Linked DNA regions of Saccharomyces cerevisiae S288C. Changing the gene in region 1 together with any one later gene gives a genetic interaction. Each region holds a gene or a part of one and is shown on either strand. Other genes may lie near its edges. The genes, in order: SPT8, HTZ1 and SAP30.

Region 1 (3,762 bases):
TATTTGTATCGTGCGTCTATGTGCTTTTGTTAATATGAAGCGTATTATTAACTCCATTCATTTTACTTTTCATTCAAATTTTGATAGTATAATATGCCTTTGTCTGCCCGGACCCTGAATTACTGACACAAAATGAAGGGATCAGTGGCCCTGAAAAAAAAAAAAAAAAAATAAACGGCGCGCGGAGTAATTATGATTATGATTATGGTTATGATTATTATTACAACTCACTATTCTAAGTCTATATCGTAAATAAGGGTCGTGTCCGTAGAATTCCCCTGCCAGCCTCTGTTGCCACTTGTGCTTATTATAAATCTTGAAGTGGGGTCGAGGTATAAGTTTGATATAATACCACCGTGATGGCCCGGCACGATGAGGAACGGCACTTTAGAACTCTTTGTAGTCGAATTCGAAGCATCTACTGCAATTTCAACGTTGTACAATCTGATATTATCCCGCGATGCACATAGTAAATGCTTGTTATTAGGCATGGCTTTAACACAAGAGACAGGCCCTGAAATAGAAGGCAGTTTCAAATTATGGATAGGTTTCGAGGGCATCTTCAAGTCAAACTGCTCCACACAGGCATTCCTTCTCCCTGCATACACATGATCACCATCTACACCCCAACATGCGGACAAACACCACGGTGGGACGCCTGCACCTCTCTCCAGAGACAATGCTGGCGACTGCGTCATGCGTCGGTCCCAAATATGCACGGAACCGTTCAACCCTGAGGTCATAAAAACGGATTCATCATAGACTATGTTCAAAGATTCTTCAGATATCTGTTCTTTGTTCTCTTCACCATTAGAACCATCCCCCGTCTCGACGGGTTCGTTGCCAGCATCTTGCTTTTCGTCTTCGTCTTCATCACCAAACAGAGAATCCATATCGTCATCTGCATTTTCATTCTCTTTACCACTGTTGACGTTACCGGACACATCCACGGACGAGTACAGCGGCCGCATTTCCAAAGATGACAATTCAGACCTTGATTTTTTAAACTCATTAACTATGTCACCCGTCTGCAAATCCCATTCCAAAAGACGCTTATCCCAGGAACCACTCAAAAACCTGTCCTCTTGACCGTTTAATCTCAGTATGTTAACGATTTGGGTATGTCCATTCCTGCCCTTAAAATAGTGCGCAATGCTCCCCTCCATGTAGCGAACGCCCTGCATGGTAATCCCACCATTCTGTAGCCCGCTCAGTATAAAGAGGCATTCGCTTTGGACTTCCAAAGAATGAACGGGGCTAACTTTGGGCTCGTAATCTGTCTTATTAGCGGAGAGTTTCATTTCTGATTTTTTCTGCGGGATCTCATTTTCCCAGTACGACTGCAAGATACCCGCGTTCTGAATAGACTCAGCCAACGAATGCTTCTGCAGGATAGTTAGAGAAAGTTTCCCCTCAAGCGTGTTCAGCAAGTCGTACTTCCTTATGTATCCATCGCTACCGCCCAAAAACAGGTACTTGAGACCCCTGGACACGGCCAACGCATTGACGTGCGTCTGGATGGGTATGGCTGCCGTGGGGTAGATATTGTACGAATCCGCAATCTGTGCGGCATTCAACATGTGCTTATAGTACTCATAAACCTCTCCATTAGCAGAGGCTTCGTGTGTAGAGGAAGATGCTTCCCTGGACCCCACTCCTCCATCAACATCGCTCAATTTCACATCCTCGGATCCAATCTTAGTAACAGCATCGCCACTATCGCCTGCACCGCCAGCACCAGCAGCAGCAGCCTTTTGCTCATCATGCTGGTGCTCATTCGTCGGTGTAGCAGTCTTATCCATTCTTGCGGCGTCGTCCTCACCATCGTCGTCCTCCTGTTCATCGTCGTCCTCTCGTTCGTCCTCGTCATCATCATCGTCCTCATCATCATCATCGTCATCCTCTTCATCTTCACCACCGTCATCATTCCCCTCGAGGTCCTGCTTTGAGTCGTTTTCCAGCCCACTCAGCATCTCTTCGTCATCCTCCTCGTCATCCACCACCTGGTTGTTAATTAGAATATCGTCAACCTCGTCCATTACGTAAAAGAAGAAAAAAAAAAAAACTGAGCCTTTAGTACACTACAGTTACTGCTACAGCCTTTTACAGCCCAGCATCTGGCACCACTACGCTATAATATATGATGCGTCTATTATGCTAGAATCCTTCCTGAAAGGGCATTCTGGAAGCCCTACGTACAGAGTGACAATATATTAGGGCATCCATAAAAATAGATTAGGGCAGCTCTGCCATTTTTTTCATAGCCGAAAGAAGAAAAACTGAAAAAAAAAATGATACGAAAAAACCGCGAAACGACGCCTTTTGTTGCGATTGTCGGGCATCGCAAGTTACGACGCGTTGTCCCTTGCATCGCTGCCGTGTGGCACGACCCACTGCGGCCTAAACGACCGAGATCGGTGCCCGGGGCAGACCACCCGAAAACTCCCGGGCATTATTTCGGTCGTTTAGTTGCGCCCCAGGGCAACCGGGGTGTATACGAGGCCGATGGCTGCGATAAACGAAAAATTCAGGCTCGTATAAGTGGCACAATAGAAGGTGAAGAAGAACAGCAGGTGCATTGAAACAAGAGGTTCAGCAGCGATCGGGTATTGTTGTTGCTGCTATTATGTAACGGTCGAAAGAAACATCGCGGTATATATTAGAGGCGGATTTCTATCTTTCTTATCAATTCGTTTTTTCATTCACTTGTTCATTCATTCTTTACATTTGTCTTGTTCTTTGAAGTGGTTGCAGAGGAGGTCAGTTTGTTGCATTTGTAAAAAAAGATAATAAGAAAAATATTCGTCTAGATTTGAGATATGGATTTGGTCTTAGAAGTCGCTGACCATTATGTCTTAGACGACTTGTACGCTAAAGTTCTGCCCGCTTCGTTGGCAGCTAATATTCCTGTCAAGTGGCAGAAATTGCTAGGGTTGAACAGTGGGTTCAGCAATTCTACGATTTTGCAGGAGACTTTGAACTCCAAGAATGCCGTCAAAGAATGTAGAAGGTTCTACGGGCAGGTGCCATTCCTGTTTGATATGTCGACGACGTCTTTTGCATCGCTATTGCCTCGTTCCAGCATCTTGAGAGAATTCCTCTCACTATGGGTTATTGTTACGATCTTTGGTTTACTACTTTACTTATTCACGGCTAGTCTCAGCTACGTGTTTGTGTTTGACAAGTCGATTTTCAACCATCCTCGTTACTTGAAAAACCAAATGGCAATGGAAATCAAGTTGGCAGTCAGTGCTATCCCATGGATGTCGATGTTGACCGTTCCATGGTTTGTTATGGAATTGAACGGCCATTCTAAACTATACATGAAGATTGATTATGAAAACCACGGTGTAAGGAAGCTCATTATCGAGTACTTCACTTTCATCTTTTTCACTGATTGCGGTGTGTATTTAGCGCACAGATGGTTGCATTGGCCAAGGGTCTACCGTGCTCTGCACAAGCCTCATCACAAGTGGCTGGTCTGCACACCTTTCGCATCTCATTCTTTCCATCCTGTAGACGGGTTTTTGCAATCCATCTCGTACCACATCTACCCATTGATTCTGCCATTACACAAGGTTTCTTATTTGATTCTGTTCACTTTTGTTAACTTTTGGACTGTTATGATTCATGACGGTCAATACCTATCAAACAATCCTGCCGTCAACGGTACTGCCTGCCACACGGTTCACCATCTATATTTCAACTACAACTACGGTCAATTCACCACTCTGTGGGACAGACTAGGGGGTTCTTACCGTA
Region 2 (2,733 bases), on another chromosome or scaffold:
TTTCGCTGTTGCCATCATTAAATAGCTTCGACAAAACTTCTGAGCTATCTGAAAAATTTGCAGTAGCCCTAGTCAAGAAATCTTTTAAAGCTACACTAGTGACTTTATTCCTCTTTTCCAACCATGCGCTCTCATTCTGAGATATAGACGTAGCCTCTCTTACCAGATTTATGTCATCGGGACACGACACGGTGCCAGGAACATAACTATCTGTGGGCGACCACGCATTAGCGGCCAGTAGAAACTGAGAAATTGCGAATATGTAACTGATAATAATTTTTGAACATAATGGACGTATCATTACTTATATTATTATGTGTGTAATTTCCTTGCTTTTAGTCCTCTTAAAACGGCGTATTCCAAGCTGAAAAGTGAAATATTAGAACTCGTAAAACCACGTATAACTTATATAAAAGTGGATGAAAAGCGTAACAATAACATAGTAGTGTGGTAATAATGGTGATAGAATCCCTGCAAGTCTGGATCTTGCAAAAGAAGTGCCAAATTGAGTAATTCCATAGCCAAGCCATCTTAAAAGCAGGGAAAAAGAAAGAAGAGAAAAAGGCTCATTGCACAGAAGAACCAGTACAACATTCGCGGAACCGGCAAGATATTTTCGTGGAGGACTAAAGCGAAACGAAAACGGATGAAGTTGCGGTATTTCCTGATTTGGAAGTTCTATGGGGCGTCCACCGGTTTCAAAAAAAAAGGAAAAATGATTTGCGTTTTAGTCATTGAGAACGAAAGGAGGAATTGGATTACGCGGGCAGTAATATGGTGCGCGATGCTGGCGTATTAACGCGAGATGAAGGAGGCTGAAGTCAGGAAAACTCATGTGAGTGTGACGTTACCGATGACATTATGGACACTTTTAAATGGTCATGTGACGCGGTATCACAGGAGGCAAACAACTGTACTCAGCAATTTCCCGATCACCTACTAACTGCGCTCTCTTCGCCTGGTATGCTCTTTTTGCAACGCACAAAGCTTCGTATAGTATTCATTATACGATTATTAGGAGTGCTGATGACTATCGTCTGTATTCTCTGAAGTGTTTGCCGCTGTTGTGTCTTGCCTTGCAACAGCGTATGTTTACCGTTTTATATATTGCGTGGCGCGCACCCGGTGATAAGAAACATCCATGTGATAAAACTCCGCACGTTGCTTGATTAATTAACCTCGGAGGTGTTACCCGCAATCAATATGTCTGCCAGCCGCCCGCCCGCCCCGGAGAAAAGAGCTTAGGACAAGAATCACTGTCTCTTACCTTGGAATCAGGGCAGGTCCGCACAAGCGGTAGTAAGCACATACCTAAAATAGCAGTATTCTTCTTTCTTTAGAGAACGTTAGACTCAATTGAAAAGGTTTACTGAATGCATCCATGCTAGATTAGCACACAGTAACTTTACGCCCGTAACTTACTACTCGTAGAACTGGCCGCTGGTGTTCCGTAACCCGCCGCGCTCGCTCCGTGCACGAAAACAACAAAACAAAAAAAACAACAAATAAAGCATACAGCTCTATTTAACAGCTGAACTATTATCCAGTGTAATAGAGTCACAACCCCCAACTAAAAAACACTGCGGACTCTATTATACTTCAGTCGGAAAAAATATCGTTAAATTCAATTTCGCACTATAGCCGCACGTAAAAATAACTTAACATAATGTCAGGAAAAGCTCATGGAGGTAAAGGTAAATCCGGCGCTAAAGACAGTGGTTCATTGAGATCTCAATCTTCTTCAGCAAGGGCTGGCTTGCAGTTTCCTGTCGGTAGGATTAAGCGTTACCTGAAAAGGCACGCTACCGGCCGAACAAGAGTAGGATCCAAAGCTGCCATTTATTTGACTGCTGTGTTGGAATATTTGACTGCTGAAGTGCTGGAGTTGGCTGGTAATGCAGCCAAGGATCTTAAAGTCAAGAGGATTACCCCAAGACATCTGCAATTGGCCATTAGAGGTGACGATGAGTTAGATTCTTTGATCAGGGCTACAATTGCTTCAGGTGGTGTTTTGCCTCATATAAATAAAGCATTATTATTGAAAGTGGAAAAAAAGGGAAGTAAGAAATAAGAAGAATAGTTTTTCTTTCCCATTTCCCGTAATTCTCCCTGCTCCTGTATCCTCATTCTATCCATATTAACGTCTGTATCATTATTATAAGTTGAAATTTGTCTCTCCGTACCCGAGTTATATACATACATATATGTAATCTATCTCTCCTTTCACGTCTAATCTCTTATGTTTTTACTATAATATATAGCATGAAAATATACTCTCACACAATATTCCCAACGATAGCGCAGTAGCCGTTATGTACGCAGAAATTTGGTCAGGGCTTTCTTTTTGTTGAACTTTGCATACCCGGAAAAATGGAAATTAAGGACACCTACAAAAGTACACTGTAGAAATCAAATCAAAGAAAAGGTTTAATAGACGATAAATTTCCATACGTGCCGACAGGACAAAAAAAAAACCCCCCTACCATTTCTAATAACAGCTTCACCACTAGTTATACTGTCGACTTTCTACCGATTTGTTGGTTCCTTTTTATAACCAGAAAATCATCTATCAATTGCAATTTGTAAGAGAAGGGGAGAAAGACAAAATAATAATATGGTGCCAGAAAATAGAAGGAAACAGTTGGCAATTTTTGTAGTTGTCACATATTTGCTCACATTTTATTGCGTGTATTCAGCCACCAAGACAAGCGTTTCCTTTTTGCAAGTAACACT
Region 3 (3,148 bases), on another chromosome or scaffold:
GAGTGGCATTGGCAGTCAGCTCTTCCAGGAATTGCTCTGAGGAAAGCATTTCCATCTCATTATGATAGTTAACTCCCGTAGCAGGAGAGCCCACATTGGCCCTTTGTAAGGGTTCACCGTTAATTTGCGCCTCCTGAGGTAAGCCAATATAATGAGAGCTTGCCGAAGTTACAGAACTGCTTCTTTCTTGCTTGTTGTTGCTCAATTCCTGGTTGTTGCAGTCTACCTTGATCATACTTGATTCAACCAGCTTAGCAGTATCCGAGTTGGTGACATCAGCCTCGAATTGAGGGGTATATGGTAAGAATAAAGAAGCGACGATAATAGTCATTGAGGTTGCCCGTGGTTATTAGTCTGTGGTTTTTTGAATAGGAAGCAATAAATTATAAAGCCAGGACCTGCAATAACGTTTGTACTGTTTTATTGTGATAAAAGATGAAGCGGAATAGCAACGGTACTTAAAACTTATGTCTTAGACTTAATACTATTGAATGTTTGCTCGTCCACTTGATGCTCCCTGGAGTTGCCGTTGCTGCGTGCTGAAGGGGATTAATTAATTCCAGGGGCACCGCGCGAAGCCCAGGAGGACAATTGATTACGTAGGGAAGAAAGGGCCCTTTTAGAAGACTGGCAATTGCAACTCTATCGAGGTTAGGTGTTACACTACGCTGTTCATTGAGGAAGTAGATGAATAAACTTGTTGATGCCCACTGTCATGTTATAACCGACCCAGACAACACATTCTGCGGTGATGATGGAGGGTCCCAGGGTACGTTGCGTTGCGTTATGTCATCAAACCCATATGACTGGAACAATTTGAAAAAATTGGCTGGCAGAAGCACAAGTAAAAACGATATATGCGTGGGATTTGGTGTGCATCCTTGGTACAGCCACTTATTTTATGTGGGAAGTCGGCGCGACAAGGTTTCTCACTATCAAGATGTACTGGAGTATAAGAATGAAGAACAGTTCGACAGTTTGGTTCAGGTGCTTCCCGAACCTCTAGATCTTGAAGAGTATATAAAAAGAGAGTTTAACGACACTTTGGTTAGTGTGATTGGAGAAATCGGTCTTGATAAGCTCTTCAGACTTCCTGCAAATGGTTTCTACATGCAGAACGAGAAGGCAAGGCTTACGACAGTGAAGGTCAAACTATCGCATCAAGAAACAGTATTCAGGCGATTTTGCCGACTGGCAAGGCACACAAGCAAGCCCATCTCTATACACGATGTAAAGTGCCACGGGAAACTAAACGATATCTGCAATGAAGAGCTCTTGACGTATCACTCTGTCAAGATATGTTTACATTCGTACACAGGCTCCAAGGAAACGCTTCTGGGCCAATGGCTCAAGAAGTTTCCCCCGGATCGTATTTTTGTGAGCCTATCCAAATGGATTAATTTTAAGGACCCAGAAGAGGGAGATGCCCTGGTCAGGAGCTTGCCCTCAACTTGCATACTTACTGAAACCGACTATCCTATTGACAATCCAGATCCGTCATACCAAAAGGCCCTTACAGAGCAGCTGCAGTATTTGAATGCACAAATCGCACGAGCATGGGACGAGACACTGGATGCCTCACAAGCCGCTTTGCGTGTATACGAAAACTTTCAGAAATTTATCAAGTGAAACGCTTTTGAGGTGGCAGCATAGCACTGTAATGAGATATATTAAGTAGGCTTGCTGTATACCATTTCTTGCTATGCATGTGTTTTAGCAAGGCAACGCCGTTCCGGAAGGGAAAAAGCGCTCTTTTTTATATACTGTGAAATTTTCAGATTTTAACTTAGAAATTATATAAAAGCGGTTGTGTATCTATTGTGATAATGCAATTCCTTTATAGTTTAGCAAATCGAAGGATAGGTATATACTGAGTAGTAATGGCTAGGCCAGTTAATACAAACGCTGAAACGGAATCGAGAGGCAGACCCACTCAGGGTGGTGGTTACGCAAGTAACAACAATGGCAGCTGTAACAACAACAATGGCAGCAATAATAACAATAATAACAATAATAATAATAATAATAACAGCAATAACAGCAATAACAATAACGGGCCTACCTCCAGCGGGAGAACCAATGGGAAGCAAAGACTCACAGCTGCACAACAGCAGTACATTAAGAATCTCATAGAGACACATATCACCGACAACCACCCTGATCTGCGCCCCAAGAGTCACCCAATGGATTTCGAAGAGTATACGGATGCGTTCCTGAGAAGGTATAAAGACCACTTTCAATTGGACGTACCGGACAACCTGACGCTGCAGGGATACTTATTGGGTTCCAAATTGGGCGCGAAGACTTATTCATACAAGAGGAACACACAGGGGCAGCACGATAAAAGGATACATAAGAGAGACCTGGCCAACGTGGTGAGAAGGCATTTCGATGAGCATTCCATTAAAGAGACAGATTGCATACCGCAATTTATATACAAGGTAAAAAACCAGAAGAAGAAATTCAAGATGGAATTTCGGGGTTGATCAAACGATGAGGCAGCCCTTTTGTGTATAAGTTATGTAAACTTTTAAGGTGGTAATTGTTAAAATGGACAGTAACACTTGTTTATTTGCTAGTATTCCATTTAGTTTAATGCCTTTTTGTATACGGTGCGGGTAGCTGTCGCGCCATTTTAAACGATCTAATATAACTGAGGTGGGCCTGTCATTGATGCATTGAATAGACAACTCATCAACCTATTTCTTATAAAAGGCGCCATAAAGCATTACAATCTACGATCGCGCAAACTTTTTTCTTTTGGCCATGGAGGATTCGAGATTGCTTATCACTTTGATTCTTGTGTTTGGAGTTATATTTCTGAAAAAATTCTTCCAAAGTAATCAGCATCCCTCAGCACAACGCTTATCCGCTACAGGTGTAAACGCACACGGACGTCCTCAGGGCTCCACGCAGAATGCCTTGAGAAGGACTGGTAGAGTCAATGGAGGTCACCCCGTGACTACTCAGATGGTGGAAACAGTGCAAAATCTAGCCCCTAACTTACATCCTGAGCAAATTAGGTATAGTTTGGAAAACACAGGCTCAGTCGAGGAAACAGTGGAAAGGTACTTGCGTGGTGATGAATTCAGCTTTCCACCTGGGTTTGAGCCCTCCAGGGCGCCAATGGGGGCCAATGCGGCTGTTG

Evidence for each region.
Region 2: mutations in SPT8 (region 1) and HTZ1 are lethal when combined (synthetic lethality), as found in Saccharomyces cerevisiae (8 studies listed by BioGRID, with this or other methods).
Region 3: mutations in SPT8 (region 1) and SAP30 together harm fitness more than expected from each alone (negative genetic interaction), as found in Saccharomyces cerevisiae (4 studies listed by BioGRID, with this or other methods).

The regions. Positions count from the first base shown.
Region 1 is NC_001144.5:251,042-254,803, forward strand, and holds SPT8 (SAGA complex subunit SPT8), read right to left. Parts: upstream 2,040-3,762; coding exon 231-2,039; downstream 1-230. Other genes in the region: ERG3 (C-5 sterol desaturase), read left to right, coding at 2,820-3,762. UniProt on the Saccharomyces cerevisiae protein: Component of the transcription coactivator SAGA complex. SAGA acts as a general cofactor required for essentially all RNA polymerase II transcription. At the promoters, SAGA is required for transcription pre-initiation complex (PIC) recruitment.
Region 2 is NC_001147.6:302,917-305,649, reverse strand, and holds HTZ1 (histone H2AZ), read left to right. Parts: upstream 1-1,666; coding exon 1,667-2,071; downstream 2,072-2,733. Other genes in the region: PLB3 (lysophospholipase), read right to left, coding at 1-301; E3 ubiquitin-protein ligase HRD1, read left to right, coding at 2,615-2,733. UniProt on the Saccharomyces cerevisiae protein: Variant histone H2A which can replace H2A in some nucleosomes. Nucleosomes wrap and compact DNA into chromatin, limiting DNA accessibility to the cellular machineries which require DNA as a template.
Region 3 is NC_001145.3:793,039-796,186, forward strand, and holds SAP30 (Sap30p), read left to right. Parts: upstream 1-1,880; coding exon 1,881-2,486; downstream 2,487-3,148. Other genes in the region: TPS3 (trehalose 6-phosphate synthase/phosphatase complex subunit), read right to left, coding at 1-331; YMR262W (putative endodeoxyribonuclease), read left to right, coding at 688-1,629; CUE1 (Cue1p), read left to right, coding at 2,767-3,148. UniProt on the Saccharomyces cerevisiae protein: Component of the RPD3C(L) histone deacetylase complex (HDAC) responsible for the deacetylation of lysine residues on the N-terminal part of the core histones (H2A, H2B, H3 and H4).